Linked DNA regions of Kluyveromyces lactis. The protein of the gene in region 1 interacts with the protein of each later gene in a pairwise test. Links are inferred from orthologs where the notes say so. Each region holds a gene or a part of one and is shown in the gene's direction. Other genes may lie near its edges. The genes, in order: RRP15, MAK21 and MAK11.

The links.
Region 2: the proteins of RRP15 (region 1) and MAK21 interact in binary tests that used the Saccharomyces cerevisiae proteins (3 or more experiments, as listed by UniProt). The link is inferred for Kluyveromyces lactis from reciprocal best matches to the Saccharomyces cerevisiae genes RRP15 and MAK21.
Region 3: the proteins of RRP15 (region 1) and MAK11 interact in binary tests that used the Saccharomyces cerevisiae proteins (3 or more experiments, as listed by UniProt). The link is inferred for Kluyveromyces lactis from reciprocal best matches to the Saccharomyces cerevisiae genes RRP15 and MAK11.

The regions. Positions count from the first base shown.
Region 1 is NC_006038.1:955,077-960,683, reverse strand, and holds RRP15 (rRNA-processing protein RRP15), read left to right. Parts: upstream 1-2,279; coding exon 2,280-3,041; downstream 3,042-5,607. Other genes in the region: KAR3 (Kar3p), read right to left, coding at 1-1,699; PPT1 (protein serine/threonine phosphatase), read right to left, coding at 3,198-4,736; ribosome biosynthesis protein NOC4, read right to left, coding at 5,000-5,607. UniProt on the Saccharomyces cerevisiae protein: Constituent of pre-60S ribosomal particles. Required for large subunit rRNA maturation, in particular processing of the 27S pre-rRNA at the A3 and B1 sites to yield 5.8S and 25S rRNA.
Region 2 is NC_006041.1:1,106,751-1,114,166, reverse strand, and holds MAK21 (RNA-binding ribosome biosynthesis protein MAK21), read left to right. Parts: upstream 1-3,298; coding exon 3,299-6,319; downstream 6,320-7,416. Other genes in the region: KLLA0_E12541g (uncharacterized protein), read left to right, coding at 537-1,727.
Region 3 is NC_006041.1:714,365-720,509, forward strand, and holds MAK11 (Mak11p), read left to right. Parts: upstream 1-3,111; coding exon 3,112-4,284; downstream 4,285-6,145. Other genes in the region: TMA108 (Tma108p), read left to right, coding at 1-693; NIS1 (Nis1p), read right to left, coding at 821-2,296; LYS1 (saccharopine dehydrogenase (NAD+, L-lysine-forming)), read right to left, coding at 4,456-5,574.

The DNA.
Region 1 (5,607 bases):
ACACACTATGTGATCTTGATGAGCGTTCATTTGAATTTGTGGCGGCAATCGACTTCGTTTTATTAGCTGTTCTCAAGACAGTATTCACTCTCGCACGTGTTTCTAGTTTTATGGACGTGACATTGGTAATTGAGGTTCTTTGAGAGTCCCCATCGTGTCGTATTTCGTATTTTGTCGGACCTGGTTCGGGATTTAAAGATCTCAAAAGATCAACGATTTGTTCGTTGTAAATTTCGATAAATTGAGCCTCAAATGAATAATCCCATCCTCTTTCCTTCAAGAGGTGCGTCCAGTCAAAGATATGATCTAATGTCATTGGTATTACACCATCAGGATCGTTCATCATAGTATAAGTTTTTCCAGAACCAGTTTGACCATAAGCGAATATGCAAACATTATAGCCATCCAGTGAACTCTGAATCAACTGGCCAACTTCTTCGAAAACGTCTCGATTTGATGCATTAGAGCTGAATACTTTGTCAAATAAGAATCTGCTGTTCCTATCTTCATTGCTTATCTCTATTGCTTGCGATCCATTTCTATTATCAAAGTTAGATACATGAATGTGCGATATATCCTGCACTTCGTTTTCTAAAGGCGGTCTTATTCTACAGTATACTCTGATATTTCCTCGCAGCTCCTGTAGTTCATTATGAAGCTTACGACGCATTGTCTCCTCTTTTATCAGTATTTCATTGATTTGTAAAAGTTCGTTTTTGGAATTAGTGATATACTCATTGAGTTCTTTCCGTTGACTGATAGTTTGCTCTATTTCTTCTTCGACAGTGTCTATTTGCACAGTAATAGATTCCTTGAATACATTCTTCTCATTAAGCTTCTCTTCCAATTTTGCTAGCTCCTTTTCTAAAATGTTACGTTTGTCTTTAGATTGATCCAATTCATTAGTCATGTCATTTTCTATATCTTGACTTAACTTGTTGATATCCTTAATCATGGACTGATTAGCTTCTGTGATATTCTTCCATTCCGTCTGAAACTCTACCATCCACTTCTCTTTAAGATTTGAGTATTTCTTATCAAGTTCTTCCTTTAATTGGTTAATGACATTGTCATTATTATTTACCTCATCGTTTAAGTTATGTATGTCCTTCAATAAATGTTCCTTTTCTTGTTTAAACTTTTGAATCTTTTCAAATTCAATCTGCTGCACTTCAAATTTGAATTTCGACTCTGTTTCATTCATTTCACAGTGGTATTTTCCCTCTATCTTCTTTATTTCTAGATCAAATCCGTTTCTCATAAACTCTAACTTCAATTCATGATCTTGATCCATGCTATTCAATTCATTCTGCTTTAACCCGATTTGTCGTACTTTCACTTGTTTCTCCTCTTTCAAATTGTTCATTTTGAACTCTACAGTTTCCACTTTGCTTTTCAACGAGTTCATCTCATCCTGTGCGGTATTCAACTTGATCTTTTTTCTGGACAACTCTTCTTGCAATCTATTCAGTTCTTTCAGGTTTTCTTTGTAAAAGAATGTCATATGAGTTGAGCTTCTATTTTCAGTACTGGGCGTGAGAGACCTTCTTCTGTTTATACTCTGTACATCTTCTGGATTCAATCTTATCGACTGCCTTGGTTTGTATTTTGGTGAACTTGAACCCTGCTGGGTTGGAGAAGGTATATTAGAACCGTCCTTCGATGAACATCTTTCTGGCGTTGACGGCGGTCCATTCATATTCCGTTTGATTATCAGCCAACCAGTTTAATTTAGTCAAACCCACTACCTTATTACACGTCTTTTCCAAAGCGGTACTGGTTTATATACGTTCTTCAATTGCTATGTCTCCTTTGGTGTTTCAAGATTGTTTTGTTTTCGGTTGATCTTATTATTTGTTTACATCTTTACTAGTATATGTGACATATTTCGAAACTGAACCGGCTTCAGTACACAACAAACCTTCTTTGGGTAGCTTGAACAAGTAGAGGAACCATTACAGATACACCACACTCCAATAAACCCAACAGTCGGGGAACCACAGGCTAGTAAGAGAGTTCAGCTTCAAGTTTCTTATGACGGCGGCTCCACCAACGTCAAATTTGCAGTGGTGTATGGGTGTGTTGATAGAATGTATTTCTTTTTGTTAGTGAACATGCCAAAAAAAATTTCAGTGAAGCACAACTCATCTCATCGCTTTCAAGACTGTATCTGGGCCTTTAGGATCCATCATTGAATTCACACTATCTCAATAGAAGGTTAACTTGCCGGTAGATTGTGCAGTGGACAGCTTTGTATTGTATAGCCGCCTGAAAATACTATGAGTAGCAAGGGTAAAGTGACAATACCTGTCACCAAAAAGAGCAAGTTGAATGACAAGTCTGCAAAGATCAGGGCTCAAACGAAAGTCAAAGAGAATGAAGTATCACAATTGGCTGATGAAGTAGATTCTGATGTGGATTCTGAAGGCAGTACAGGTTCCGAAATAGATAACGATGAAATGGATCTAAATGAAGTGTCGAGTGATGACGCCAGTGATGAAGACAGTGACGATGAAGATGTGGTGAACCAACCAGATGACGATGACTTCCCAAGAAAGAAGAAGTCTTCCAAATCCAAACACGATGATGGATCATCCACATTTTCCAGCGCGTTAACCAATATTTTATCATCGCATTTGAAAGCATACGACCGTAAAGATCCCATTATGGCTAGGAATAAGAAAGTTTTAAAGCAAAATGAAGCAGATAAGTTAGAGCAAAAGGCTAAGAGAGCTATACTCACAGAGAAGAAACAACTACTCAATAAGACTAGAAAGAAAGATATTATACCTGTTGTGGCTGCAGACGCAAACTCGGATGAAATTAGAGAAATTCTTGAGAAGGAACGTAAACTAAGAAAGATTGCCCAGAAAGGTGTTGTGAAGTTATTCAATGCAATTCTCTCTACTCAGGTTAAGACTGAAAAGGAAATCAATGACTCATTGGGTGGTGTGAAGAACCGTTCAGAGAGAAAAGAGTTGATAACGGAGGTTTCCAAGGAGAAGTTCTTTGATTTGGTGAAAACTGCTGGTGACAGTTGAAAAGAGGAAGTTCTATATGATAGAGGGAATCATCTGCATTTATTAAAGCGCAAAACTATGTACATATATAGGTAATCCCAAAGACTGTATAATAGACTAATAATATTATTAATTACAACTTTATCGAAAAAAGATCAGATCAGGTCAGATGAGGGATCAAAATCCTAACCCTCCATTTGAATATGCCATTGGTTTAATATCTGGATGTGGTGAAGCAGAGAAAGTTTCTATTACCAAGTCGCTGTCGATAGATGATTTCTTTTCAGATTTTGTGTTTGGAACAACATGAATGATTGCACCGAGGTTGCCACCGGCGTCACAGTAGTTAGGAGCACTGAAAACAGTGACCAATTGATTCTCATGCTCAAATTCGTAACCGCCTTGTCTAACTTCATGAGACCTGAAGATTCGCTTTAAATTATTCTGTTTCAAGAACTTTCTAGTAATGTCAGGCCCAAACGCATTACTTAAGCCACGAGGAGATGGTCCAAATCCATCCGGAGCCTGTGGATCCGCCCATAATAACTCCATAAATGTTCCCTCTCTTGGTGGTTGGTGGAATCTATCAATTTTCTTCATATCTTCTACAGTGGCAGAAGTATCACTTGGCAAACCACCATGCACGACCAGGTATGAACTATTGATGACAGTGGCTAATGGTAGAGATTCGAAGCTTTGTGAGAAAAGATCGAAAATGCGCTGGGAGTACTTGTATTTGCATTCGTCTTCAAACCCGTACACTTTATTCATGCTGTTGGTTTCATGATTACCTCTGTTCAAGTAAATGTTCTGTGGATACACGATTTTCAAAGAATAGAATAAAATGGCCACTTCACAAGACCATGATCCACGGTCTACGAAATCACCATTGAATAAATATACATTGGAGCCGCCTACTTTCCCATAACTTTTGAAGATGTTCAGAACATCATAAAATTGACCATGCGTGTCACCACATACAGAAATTCTTGTATCCGGCTTTTCTCTGTTATCAAGTTCAACAACACTGTTTTCTTGCTTGAACAAATAGTCTGCATGAGAAATGATCGCTGCAACGTAAGCCTTTGGAAGCTTTTTACCTTCTAGGAAAATCTCATTAATCATATAAGAAATGAATTCCTGGTTCATATTGTTAACTCTGACACCAGCATTGGCCCCAGAATCTGACTTCACTTGTTCGAATTCCAAGGTTTTACCATCATATTTGAGGAGATCGGCATTTGCATCGAATGAGCTGATATTTAAAGTTTGACATAAATCAACTTTAGAAGAGTCTCCACCGCTAATAGCTTTTTCAAAATTCTCCTTCTGTATGACTTTATCACAGATTGCTAATGCATTTTTTGCAGTGAGCTCGTTAGGCTTGAATTTCAACACAATGATCAAGTCCTTCCTTGCCTTTCTAAACTCTAGTAGCCCAATGTAAGACATAGCTCTGCGGTGATAGGCTTTCAAATTGTTATTATCCAATTCAATTGCACGTTTAGCATCGTCTAAAGAACTTTGGAAGTTATCCAACTTTAGGTTGGTGAACGCACGGTTTGAATATAGGATCGTATTCTCGGGATCATGCTCGATGGCTTTTGTATAATACTCAGCTGCCTTTGCGTACAGTTTCTCCTTCACGAACTTGTTACCTTCATTCTTCAGCTCTAAGGCTTTCTCTGGATTACAGGCTTTCACTTCCTCAGTCATTTATTCAATAGTAGTGGTAAAAAAGCAGCCAACTGGTATGGTATGTGCCTTTAAGTCCTCAAGACCGATAAACGGAGCCCATTTTAAAGTTTTTTCTGATGTGAGTCTTTCTCTTCTTGATGTTGACTTGTTGATTTTTTTCATCTCGATGTTTCAATATTACGGCGATGTGATGAGATGTAATGTGAAGAGATTTGCGAAAGTGAAAGAAAGTACTCAATTTGGAATTGAACTACTTAAGTTTTCTACTTGAAATTATGTATTTACCATTTTATGAAGGGTAGGAATGCTGAATCAGAACCTGATTCGAAAATTGTTTCAAACCTTTCGAATTCAAGAGCAGGTTGGATCTTCAGCTTTCTATTGGTTTCTGCTTGCAAAAGTGAATCGTAAGACCAATCTAAGAAATCTTCGATGTTGTAGCTTAACTTTTGGAAAGGTTGTTGGAAAATCTTCGCTAAAGTGGCTACGTTTGGATGGTAGTGATTCATTAGCGTTTCTAGCTCCCATACTGAGGAGGAAAGAGCATTTGTAAGTTCTGGATTGGTTTCTTCATTGTTGAATGGATCTAGATATTCTTGCCTTTTCTTTGAATCGCAGTCGATGTATTCTGGATCGTGTAATAGAATCATACATGTAGGATGCTTTCTGATTAGATTGTACACGAATGGTATTATAGAAACAATAGCACCTGGTGGTGCCGATACGGATAAACGTGCCAAACGTTTGATGAATGACGCTACCAGTTGTGCGGATAAATGTGTAGAAGATAGAAAGGTGTCCACTAATCTGAAAAATCTTGATCTGTACTTAACGTGCATTACTTCTGGAGTTAGAAGCTGATATAGTTTTGAGTAGAAATTTGGATATT
Region 2 (7,416 bases), on another chromosome or scaffold:
AAATCTTGGTGAAGGAAAATCTGAAAATATCAGACGGGCAAGTCCTCATTACTGCACTAAACAAACAAAAAATTCTGCATCTTTCTTTTGCTCTTCTGTTGCTTTTAATTAGAGCCTTTCCTTCCTTTTTTTTCACATTTTTTTGCTTTATTCGGAAAAATCCCAGCTCTCTGTCTTTTTACAGGGTGTACTGACAAGATTTATATTAGAATCAGCCTTTGCATTGCAACGGAAAAGCTAAAACGACACAAGTACAGGCACAATTTTTAGGAAATATTGATCTGATCTGATTTGGCCAGACCAGACCTATTTTGAATAACGCACGAGCAAAACGGCCGGATAAACGATCATCTTAGGTTTTACTTGGACTTCTCTCTATTTTGGACTTTTTTCTGCGAAATTTTCTCATTTTCTGAGTGAGAATTAGCATCGATCTGTTTTATTCATTTTACGTTTTTTTTTCTACGCGTGTCCTGCACTAATCTGCACGAGTCGCATTTTCTTATTTTTGTTTCTTTTTGTTTTTTTTTTGCGCCATGCCTTTGTCTGATTATGCATACGCAAACGATAAAAGGACGGACGATCAAGTACCCGGACATGTATCAGGATCTGTTCCAGGACCAGGAAGCCAATTGAGTCCTTTGGTGTCCTCTTCTAATGCATTGATGAACAGCGATCAATTGGCTTCTGTTCAGCAGCAGCAGCAGCAGCAGCAGCAGCATCCAAATACCTACAGCAACCAGAACAACAACACCGCTGCTGGTGTTCCCTTTTCCAATCTGCCGCAGAATACATATAAGGTGACAAAAGCCTCAGGGCCCAACGCCAATACTGGCGTTGGAAACAACCCGAACGCTGTGTTTAACGCTGCAGTGACTGGGCTTCCCGTGCTCCCTGCGATCCCAGGATTTACGAACCACGGTGCGTTAATGACTCCATTGGCTCCCACGGTTTCTGGTGGTGGTGGTGCTGCTGTGAACCATTCGGGGAACACCTCCTCGGGTCATAACGATAGTGAGAAAAAGTATCGGAACAACATTAACACTCATTTCCAGTTTTTGAGAAACTCGGTACCGACACTTCGATGGTGTGACGATAACTCTATTCCTGTGGAATCGCTAGAAGGGTTGGCTCCACCTTCGAAAGTCAACAAGGTTCAAATTTTGTCAAAATCTCATGAGTACATCAAACATTTGGAACGCAAGAACAGTCTGCTGCAACAGGAAAATGAACAGTTGCGGATGCAGTTGGCTCAGTTCATGCCGGGCCATCACAACAGTCCTGGATCTCCAAACATGAACCACAATTCCATAATGGTCCCTAAACAGCATCAGCAGCCGCAACAACAGTCGCAACAGAAACAGCAACAGCAACGGCAGCAACAGCAACGGCAGCAACAGCAGCAGCAACCACAACAAAGTAATATCCAACCCCAGTACCAGGGGAATTTACAAGGCTCACAAAGTCATTCGGTGACTCCTCCTTCATCCACTAAGCCTTCAATTTCGTCGGGTCCTTTCTACCGCCAACCGGGGCAGGTTCAAGGAGCACACCCATCACAAGGCCAGGGATTAATTCAGAGTCATGGGCAAGGTCCATCTCAACAGCATTCAATGTACGCAATTCCTCCCGCACCAATGCATAACCATCCTTCACAACAGAATTATCAATTCATGAAATATCAAAGTTACTATCAACAACCACCCCACCAAAACCTGGATGAATAAAATCTTAAGTTTATCTATCGGAACGTAAACTTTTTTTTTATTGTTCGTTAATGGTCCCAACCTGAAGCTTATACTACTATTATCCACCACTAATTGATAATAATGTTGAATGGGATTAATAGTACTATTATTGTTATAATTTTTACTACTAATTTTTTTTTGTTCTAATGATAGAAAAAAGCAGCATGAGATTCGAAGTAACTCTTCAATTTTTCATGGCATCGTATGCTCGGTCTCTCGTTCACACACCATCCATCCTTTCACTCCTTTCCCCGGTGTGTGTTTGTCGTCATCTACCTATATTGGATTTATGACTCTGTAATAGAAAAAGGCAAAGAAACGTCACAAAACATCATAGCATCGCTACAGCATTCGATGGAAAATCCAGAATTAGCTTGAACGGACAGCTTAAGAAGCTTTATCTTCCCCGTCAATTGCCATCATTGTTCCCATATCATAAGGATCAGCTTTATCATCTTATTACTTTTATCACGCCATTATTACCATTAGCACTCTATTTTTATTTTCATTTCAGTGAAATGATGATGAAAATCAGAAAAAACACAAAGACAAATGCCATTGCAGTTATTTTTTTATACGTTTCCTTTGTCCATTCATTAGGATACCAATTGTCATTGTCTTACGAATATATAGATATTCTTCGCTATCGCTACTTAGAAAGAAAATCTCGTTTGTCTTATTCAACTTTTGAAATGTACAAGTTTGAGTTATTTTTAGGCAGGTCAATGGGTTCGTATCTATGACCCTAATGTCCCTCTAAAACTACACCTTGTATTTCGAGGTAATCAACTCGACTTGAACCTCTTCTCTTGTATGCACAATGAAAAGAAGAAGAAGTATAGTAGAAGTATTCCTTTACCAAGAGTTGTTCTCAATACGTAACTTACCTTGTTCACCTCGAGCTGGTGCATCTGAAACCATGAGTTTCCAATCAATTCATGCAAATGCACGTCTATTTCTGCCCCAAGAATGTATATGTATGTGTGTCAATGCTTATTGATGCATGCACCATTGGCAACTAATGGCACCATTGGCTTCCACCATGCACGTCGTTTGTGCGGGTAATGGCGAGGTCCCAAAAAACATTCTTTAATTGGGATTGATTCCAGTAAAGAAATTCCAATGCAGAGAGGCGGATACTTGAGGGAAGTACATACATTGTGCAACTTTTGATTCAACTTACTTTCACGCTTTACCTACTCCTGAGCATGTCCATTGGCTCGTAACGCTCTCGGCAAACCATGTGACAAGCAGATTCCCCGCTTCTTGGTCTCACTACTACATAGAATGCTTTTGTAAATACTAAACGAGAGAGACAAACTCATTACCCGGATAATCGTTAATCACGTGATGAAAAGAAACGACAAAAATTTTCTACCTTTACACCAAAATCAAGCTCATCTCATCTCATCTCATCTCATCTCATCTCAACTCTTATTATGCGCTCAGACTGTGTTTGTTGATATACACAGAGGCCACTTCTCTGTTTGTCGTTTGATTGATCTATTGCTTGGAAAGAAGCAACACTCGATAACAAGTGCAAATCTGGAATGAGTCTTGATTTATCCAAATTGAAGGAGAAAGTGTCCTCCAAATTGGGAGCTTCAAAGGCCAAAGACACTAAGCCTAAGAAGAGTAAGAAGCAGGGCGAAAAAGAGACAGACGTTACTCCAGCTAAAGAGGAAACTGCTGTCACCAATGAAGAATTGATCCGTGAAGCTCTGTCTCTTGGAGCCTCTGAAAAAGATGTCCAGCTTGTTGATGGTGTTGACGACGATGCCAGTGAGATTGAATTCAATGAAGCCGATGAAGAAGTTGATGACGAGTTTAAGAGCGATTTCAGTGCTTTATTGAAGAATATGGGATTCGATAAACTACCTGAACCTGAAGTTGTAGAAGAACCAACAGTTACTGAGGATGCAGGCAAAGAAGAGAAAGATATTGAAGAGGAGGAGGTAGAAGTTGAAGAAGAAGAAGAAGAAGAGACGGTAGAGAAAGAGGAGGAACCACTTAGTCCTAAACCAGCAGAAAAAAAAAAGGAAGATCAATCCGACATGATCACTCAAACTCATATTGTTCAAAGTGATAAATTACTTGTTCCATCAGATTTGTTGTGGTACGAAGTTCCTTTGGACCCTGAATTAACAAGAGAACAGGATCCGCTAACGAAAGAACAGATAGATAAGTTATACCAGCGTGGTAAAGAGGCCTTAGAATTAGATAACACTAATTACTACGAAGAATTTACCAAGAACTCATCTCAACGTAAGTTTATGTCCCAGATCTTAAGCGATGGTACGTTGAACGATAAAATTAGTGCTTTGACTTTATTGCTACAGGAATCTCCATTGCATAATATCAAATCTCTTGATTCTTTGATATCCTTTTGCGGGAAGAAGTCAAGAAATTCCGCATTACAAGCTTTGAATGCTCTGAAGGATTTGTTCTTAAATGGTCTGTTACCTGACCGCAAGTTAAAATACTTCAAGAACCAAAACCTTTCCATGCTACTGAATAAGAGAACTTTAGCTATTTTATATTTTGAGGATTACTTGAAGGGTCTATATTTCAAGATTTTGGAAATCTTTGAGAAATTATCCCATGATCCTATCATCTATGTCAGAATGCAAGTGCTAACACATATCTTTGACCTGCTAACAGCCAAACCAGAACAGGAATTCAACTTGTTGAAACTTGGTGTTAACAAATTAGGTGACATTGATAACAAAGTAGCGTCAAAGGCTTCCTTCAAACTTTTGAAACTTGAAACTCAACATCCAAATATGAAATCAATTGTGGTAGACGCTGTTGTCGATATTGCCATAAGGCCTCAAGCTGACTATCATACTACATACTATTCCGCATTGACACTTAATCAAACAATTTTGAAACGCTCCGAGAAGAATCTAGCAAATCAGCTAATCAAGACCTATTTCACTTTATTCGAGAAATTCTTAATCCAAACTGATGCTGATAACGAGGAATCAAAGAGTGAAATCAAGGAATCCGATAAGTCATATGAAAAGAAGAGAAAGAAGAACTTCAAGAAGGGTAAAAAGGGTGGTAAGTCTGTCATTGAAGAAAAAAGTGCTCAAGAAGTTATCGAGGAAAAAAATACCAAATTATTCGGTGCTATTCTAACTGGTTTGAATCGTGCTTTCCCATTCTCTGATATGCCGGGATCCGTGTACGAGATACATCTTGATACATTGTTCAAGATAACACATGCGTCTAATTTCAACACTTCAATTCAAGCATTAGTATTGATTCACCAGGTTGTCGTGAAGACAAACATCACAAGTGATAGATATTACAAGACATTATACGAATCCCTACTCGACCCAAGATTGGTGTCGTCATCGAAGCAAGGTATTTACTTAAACTTGCTTTACAAATCTTTGAAAGATGATAAAGACATTGGAAGAGTGGATGCTTTCGTAAAACGTATATTGCAAGTCTGTGCCCATTGGTTGAACATCGGTGCCATTAGTGGTATGTTCTTTTTGTTGATACAACTTTCAAAGAGTTTACCGCAGATCAGAAATGTTCTAATCAACTCACCACTAGACTCTGTTTACGAATCTGATGACGAAGATTCCAGGGATAAAACTAAGGAAAAACCTGGTTACGATAGCCGTAAACGTGATCCAAAATATGCCAACGCTGAAAATTCATCGCTTTGGGAGATAAATCAATTCTTGTCCCATTTCCATCCTACTGTGCAGTCGTACGCACAAGGGTTCTTCGACGGTGACACTCAAGAAACAAGAGAGTTAGTCAAACCCGATCTTGGCCTATTCACGTTAGCCCATTTCTTGGATAGATTCGTGTACCGTAACGCCAAGCAAAAGCCAACCACTAGAGGTTCATCTATCATGCAACCTTTGGGAGGTGTACACACTGGTTCGTTATTAGTGAAGGCCAGCGATACCACATTGCACGAAGTACCTGCTAACACGGAGAACTGGTTAAGTAAGAAGGTGCAAGATATCAAGCCAGATGAAAAGTTCTTCTATCAATATTTCTCTACAAAGACTAATGCCATCAAATCTACCAAGTCAGGTGCAGAGGATGAAAACGGTACAGCTGAATTCGACGAGGAAAGCGATTTGGACGAAGATGAAATTTGGGATGCTTTAGTGAAGTCAAGACCTGACGTCGAAGGTGACGAAGAGGACAGCGATGTTGAGTTCAGTGAGGACGATTTCTCACAGGATGATTTCGGATCGTCATCCGAAGATGTCGATATTGATCTCAAAGACCTTGCATCTTCGGGAGACGAAGATGAGGCATCAGAAGCTGATCTTGAAGCTGAAGAAGGTGAACCAGAAGACATCAGTGACTTCGATCCAGAAGAGGCCAAATTGTTTGAAGATAACCTCGAAGACGAAGTAAAATCTGATGAAGATGTATTCTACAGTGCTGCAGACGACTCCTCGCAAGAATCTGATGTGGAAGACACAGAGCAACAACCTCCAAGAAAGAAATCAAAGAAACAAAAACTACGCGAACTACCAACTTTTGCGTCGGCAGAAGACTACGCCCAATACTTGAACTCAGATGAAGAATAAAGAGTGAAGAAGTACTGTTGCATTGCATGTAAAAACCAAGACCAGTTGAATTAAATAATTCCATAGCCCATACAACACCACAGCTTTTGTACATTAAACCCGATCAAACCAAGATCTCGTCCACTCTAGCCTGCCCTATGTCAAAAAACGCATCAAAAAAATCCGTTTCCTAAACCGGAAATAATCTAGCCCGTTTTTCCTGTGTCTCGAATGAGAAGCCGCTTTTTTGTGGACGGACGCCGTTTGTTTTTGTAATTCCCTTTTAGGCAATAGACGGAACGAATATCTAATAATAGTTCCAAACGGGAAGTCCGCACCAGTTCAACACTCTTGGTGTGTTTATGAAGGGTGTGTCGAAAGCAGATTATTATAATCATCATTCAGCGGATGACGGAAGTGAATGAGAAAAAAAAAAGTGTTAATGTATGTAATCGTAATTCCCAGAAGTGAAAGTTGTTCTAGCATGCAACACTTCAGCTCACATTCTCTATGAATGGGCAAGATGCTAGTATGCCGCACACAGCGCATTCACCGGCGCAAATGTAACGCGTGTGGACATTCATTACTCTGTCTTGATAAGAGAACAGAAAACATAGCGGATGAAAAAGGATGAGTCTAGGTCTTTGCAGCAACTCTTACATAATCTCACGTGCCTCGTTTTCCGTCTAAGCAACGTTGCGGCTTCCGCTTCTTTTCACCCATCTGTCGTTCGAGAGCTCTTCAGATCCGAAGGATTATGACAAATGACAAATGGTCGGTTGCTATCCATCCCAGCCTTTTGTTGACATCCAAAGAGATTTTTTCTGGATCCGCTACATTCTCTCCGGAAATTTACATGACGGTTGCCAGTAAGAAAATAATTATAGTAATTAGCAATATCTACATGGTCACTAAGTTTGAATTCGTCGAAGTCTTCCGCTGCAATACTTTCACTTTCTTATCTTAAAGGTGTCTGAGAAGGTGCGCGAAAGGTTTGGATGGGGAGCTTTGATTAACTAATCTTTTTATCGCTTGTGCATTGAAAGAGTAGTACTATTGTTATACTCCCATTCTTCCTGGGCTATCCACACATACACACGCTGCAATAATACGTACAT
Region 3 (6,145 bases), on another chromosome or scaffold:
GTTATGTCAAAGGTGATGTTTGGTATCAAACATTTGGACTCAACCTTGACTGTGGCCAATCAATTAATGAAAAAGATCTTGTCTGGTCCAAATAAGTCCATTCCTTTGGAATTGTGCGGAAGTGTGTTCGCCACTGTCTCCTGTCATCAAAAGAATGTCAAACAGTGGAAAAAATTATATGAGCTAGTTAAGTCTGCAAAGGGTGTTGAATCTCATGTTGACGGTGGATCTTCTATTGACATTCAAAATATGGCTCTTGAGAATCTTGCATTCAACACTAATGAGGAGCTCATCAAAAAGACTTTGAACTTTATTTTAACTAATATCACTTCAACCAGTGTTGAAAATGCATTATTCGGATTGAACTATAACTTCCGCGAGCCATTGGATGGCAAGAAGAATAAATTAGTCCGTGATGTATGCTGGGAGTGGTTCGAGTTAAATTATGACCTATGGGGTCGTAAGTCTCTGAGAGAGGGCGCGGAATCCTCTGAAAGAATGAAAAAGACCCTGGTGCACATCAGTTATGTGATCTTCCAAATGTGGATGGATAACCCCGAAAAGGTCGATGAGTTTGTGACAAAGAAAAACGCTACGTATGGTCAAACGCTTGGTACAGCTCAAATCTGGACCGCTGTTAAAGCGAGTGAAAGCTCCAAAATGAATATCTATAAAGGTATTTTAGGCTTCTAATATCCAGATCATAAGTAGTGTATACATATGAATGTATTTGTAATGCAATTCTCTCAGAACAGCATGAATTCCAGAAACATAAATGTTTCATCTGTAATCCGTAAATGCTCCCGATTAATTAATTTCGTTATGACAAAGTGTTTCTTGACGTTACACTGCGTATAGAACGCTCTTCATCGATTTTATGCATTCCTGGATTGTCAGGAGGGAAGAAAAATGATCTTCTGTTTTGGTCTGCGCTTGTCAGTGATTGTCGCACGGAAAAAATGCTAGTGCTCGGTCTGGTCGACAAATCATCGGTATCATTTTCATGATATAATTTCTCAATTGTTCCATAGCCATCAGTATTACTGCTATTGTCTTGCGATCCTCTGACGGGCGGAGCATCCTCATTATCAGAAATTACAATTGGGTTGCCAGGAGACCCAAGTTCCAACGGCGGTGTAATTGACTCTCTGTACACGATCGCAGAATTTCTCACCGACGAGGCAAATGACGACATATCTTCACCCAATAGACAAGAGATTCTAAGCTCGACTCTTTTAGCTATGATAGCTTTGAGGTAAGAATTCCATGTACGGTATAACTCAGGATTTAATCTCTCTGCAAATGATGTTTTATTAGCTGGTAACGTGTTTGACCTGCGAACATGTTTGGCTTTTCTTGAAAGGTTTCTAGAGATAGATGGCCTTTTCACAACATTTGACCCTTGCGGAGAGTTTTTCTTTTTATTCAACAATTCATTAAACTGCATTAAAGGAACCTTAATTGGATGGAGTGTTGGATTAACTCGTAATAGGCTTCTCAATGAATTTTTGGAATAAAGATACATTCTAATGTTATCGGCTGTTATCACCTCAGTTATATCCATTTGAGAGGCGTTGATGTATCTCATGTACGACATCAATTCCTGTTCATTTTGAAACCTAGACCTTTTTCTGAAGTGAGTCTTTTTGGTGTAATTTCTTCGCAGTGAATTAACAGAATTGTGTCTTTGAGAAAAGCCCTTATGGAATATGAACTTCTTATCTTTGTTATATTTCGCATACTCAGACTGAACAGAGAAATCCTTGCGCCTAACTGAAGAATGCGTTCTTTTAAGCGAATTGTGCCTATTCATTTTTTGTTTTATTTTCTTAGAAGAGTAGATAGGCCATTTGGTGAATAAACTCAACAGCGAGTCGTTATTTTGTTCCAAACCTTGTCGCCTATTCTTATTGTTCTTTTCCTGTTCCACCTGGAACTTGTCAAAATCGGTCATATACGGTAAAGCAGTCTTTCCGGCTTCTGGTGGTGCATCCTCCCCAAGCAATGTAACTGTGGGTATGGGTGCTGCGATTGAAGTAACGGGACTCAGTCTAAGACTACGTCTGTAAAGTTCTTCTTCGTATGGACTCAGCAGTAATTTATCATTGGGACTTCTTTCTTCCAACGTATTGACCAAGTGAATATTTTGTTCATTCAAAGAACGTTCTTGCATCCCACTTGTATATATAGCTCTGTTTGAATCGACAAGAGACTCATGTAATCGACTCCCGATGTTATTAGAACTCAAATCGATAACACGCCGAGTATCATTATTTTCACTAGAGTAACTTGACATGGCTTGAAAATTCAGCTCTTATTCCTTTCTTGAAACAGGCTCAAGTAACTTCCCCTTTTCAAGTTGTGAATAGAGAATATTTCTTTGGATTAGGACTGATGAGAATCAGAAAGTGCTATGCTCTAAATGGCCACTCTCGGAAATGGCTAATGAAACGTCTAAATATGGAATAGTAGAGTTCTAAGTTCTAATTAAAGATTTCAAATCCGTATCTAGATCTCTTATTGATTAATGGAGGAACATGTATTTTCCCGATTCAAAGTCTTTAAAGATCAGATCAAGTTTGTCACCAAAAATAATTAGCACAATGCTTGAACATTCATCCTAGGAAATAAAAACGGATTATCCATCAATACACACAACATTGTTTCCGGACCGTTTAAGCAAACAACTCGAACATTGAGAGCCTACACCACTTAAAAAATGCTGCGTCACTTTATTTTCCGCACTTTCTGTCCGAAATCTCATGCTAAAGAAACTAAGCTTAACAAAAAATGCTGGTTGTCGAAAAAAAATACAAACAAACCCTTTGAACATTGGGAATTTTTAATAGATTGAACCCAGCACATTTGAAGGAAAGAAAACCTTTTAAAAAGTTTACCCGGAAATTGAACAGTTTCTTTTTTCTTCCCATCTGGATCTGGAAAGTTGGAAAATTTAAGATTGAACATAGTCAAAGAAGCGATGAGATGAGATGAGATGAGATGAGATGAGATGAGTTCAATGAGCTTTCACATATATAATTTCTTCAACACCGATAAGTGCTCCTTTTGTTTTCACTGTAGAAAGAGAGGTTGAAAAGGTCTTCTATTCAAATGCCGGATAATCAGTTTAGAATCATTGTGGGTTCTTACGAACACAATCTATTATGTTTATCTTTGAACTTATCGTTAACCCAACCGCTATTCACGCCAATATTTCATTTTCAAGCGCACTCATTGAGTGTGAAATGTCTAGACATATCAAAGAGATACCTAGTATCAGGATCGAACGATGAAAATATAAGAATCTACGATTTACAAAAACGTAAAGAATTGGGGACGTTGTTAGGACATCAAGGTTCCATTACGAATTTGAGATTCTCAAGAGGTAAAGATGCCGATGGCCAGGATATCCAACTCAATAAATGGCTACTATCTGCATCTGAGGATCATAAAATAATAGTATGGAGAGTGAAAGACTGGGAAAATTTCGGAACCTTGAAGGGCCATACTGCCAGGATCAACGATTTCGATATTCATCCTTCGAACAGAGTTGCAGTCAGTGTAAGTGAAGATCATTCGATCAGATTATGGAACCTCATGACTGTTAAGAAGGCAGGTGTATTGAAACTAAGGAAATATAATCAAAACGGACAGTTCGTTAGATGGTGCGGGGAGAATGGGTCGTATATTGCTGTTGGTTTGTTGAACAAATTGCTAATTTTCAAGACCGAAACAGCAAAGGTGCATAGAGAAATCGATTTTAGCAGGAATACATTGATGCATCTAGAGCGTGAAATCATTGATGGCGAAGAGTATATTGTTGTTGGATTGAACAGTGGTGCCGTTCAATTCTGGAAAGCATCAAAACTTTACGAAGAAGTGCCAGATGAAGAGGAAGAATCACCTAAGTTGGAAGCTGAATTTTCACTATTGGGTCACAGTAACCGTGTAAAGGACTTTCAATTTTACCATAACAAGTTTGGTCATTATTTAGTTACAATCGGATCTGATGGAAGAATTGTCGTTTGGGACATGAAGACTAGGGATCAAGTTGCGGTATACGATTGTGGTGAAAGATTAAATTGTGTAGCTGTATGCGATGAAAGTATTGAAAAATATGATACCGTTAAGAAGAGAGCACCAGAAGAAGTTGAGGTGGGAGAACCAAGTGACGTAGAAGCTGATCCTGAGGAACTCAAAAAGATCATGCTTGGGAAAAAGGCCAAGAAGAGTAAAAAGAAGGGCGGAAACAAGAAAAGGAAGGTCGAAGTTCAATTAGAATAGAATGCTTCAGTATTGTTTTGTATATATATATATATATATATATATATAACTAAGGCGAATAATATACAAAGTCTCAATCGCGGTCTACATCATAAAAGGACCCTTTAGGATTACTAACAACCACCTTCCCAGAAGATGAGGATACGAAATAGAAAAAAAAAGGTTCAGCTTCTATAGCTTAGATGTTCTACCAACCTTAGCAGCGAACTTTTCATATAGGTTTCTAGCCTTGACCCACACAGAAGCAGTAGCTCTTTGAGGTAACTGCTCCAAGGATGGTAATAGATCACGAGAGAAAGATTCTGAGGCTTCCTTTGGTAACAATGAAGGCAAATGATCAATAGAACACACGGACAATTTTGGACCAACAGTGGTTGGAACTTGTACTGTTGGTGCATCAAACGTAGTGTTGATGGTGTAAATTGGAACAGGGTTATGAGGATTAGTGGTATCAGCAGAAACGTCAACAACAGTTCTCAATCTTCTGGTTGGCTTATTCAATAGTTCATTGTTGATGAAAGGAGGAATAGGCTTTGATAAGTATATACAGTTGATGAAAACATCGGCATCGGCGATTTCTTGGAAGGGACCACCACGAGCAGTCTCCTTCATATCCCATTTGATGATATTTTCTTCTGGCAATCCACACTTACGTAGTAAATCAGCAGCACCAGAACCACATCTACCCAAGGCACCAATAATCAAAACCTTAGGCTTTCTGGCACCTCTCTTCAAAGCTAATTGGTAGTCTCTGCGAACATCCTTGATCATAGCTTCTTCGTTTTCGTATGGTTCAATAGCTCCCAAATTCTCAGAATCTGAGTGGGTTTGCTTGAAAGCCCAGTCTCTGATACCGACTGCTGCGCCGGCAAAACCAGCATAGAACCCAAATGCAGCTACTCTTCTACCTTGGTCATTTTCCAAGAATTCAAGGTCGTACAAAACACCATTACCTCTCTTGAAACGGCTCAAAACATCTTCCCAACCAGCTTGGTTCTTGTAACAATGAGCAAACTGGATGTGTTCGTGAACTAACGGGAAAGTATCAGTCTCTGGCATTTCTTTCAAGCCAATGATAATACGATCGCGTGGAGCGGTCTTCCAAGATCCTTCTGGAACAATAGTGGCACCGACCTTCTTATATTCTTCGATATCAAAGGCAGATTGGGAACTCTCTTCAACGAAAATCTTGAACCCTTTATCCAACAACTTCTTGGTAGTAGTTGGTGTCAAGGCTGTACGAGCCTCTAAGGGCTTAGTTTCTGCTCTTAAATGTAGTGTAACACTCATTGTTAAAATTGTAATTGTCTCTTTGTTTCTCGGATGTTCTCAGTACTATATCAAAGTAAAATATCGATGAGATGAAGTCAAGCAGTATTGTTTCCGTTTTTCTTGATTTATATAGTTACACTGTTCAAGATCATGCAAAGATTAACAAGGGTAAATGAAAAGTGAACTCGAGATTTATTCCTGTTGTCTTTATATAAGTTCGATACAATCAATTTTTTGACTCATATAAGTCATCTCATGCGCTCTTCATCAATTGTTTCAATACTCTGATAAATCTCCCATCAGTTTCTCACTTAAATGCCTGTATTCCAAAGGAATTTCATTGAATTCCAGTGCTAATGCCAGCTTTTGGAGTCTGAAATGAGCAGGGAACTTTCAGGCAAAACGAATCACTACTCGACTCAAAGGGAATCTTAAGATTGAAATTCCACCGGAATTTCAAAAATTGGGATTCTTCAGGACAGCGCCCCGAAAGTTTTCTGACAGCCAGAAAAGATATTTTTGGGGTCAATACTGTTTACTTAGGTATTAATATTACGAGACACAAACAAACAATAATAAAAATAAAACA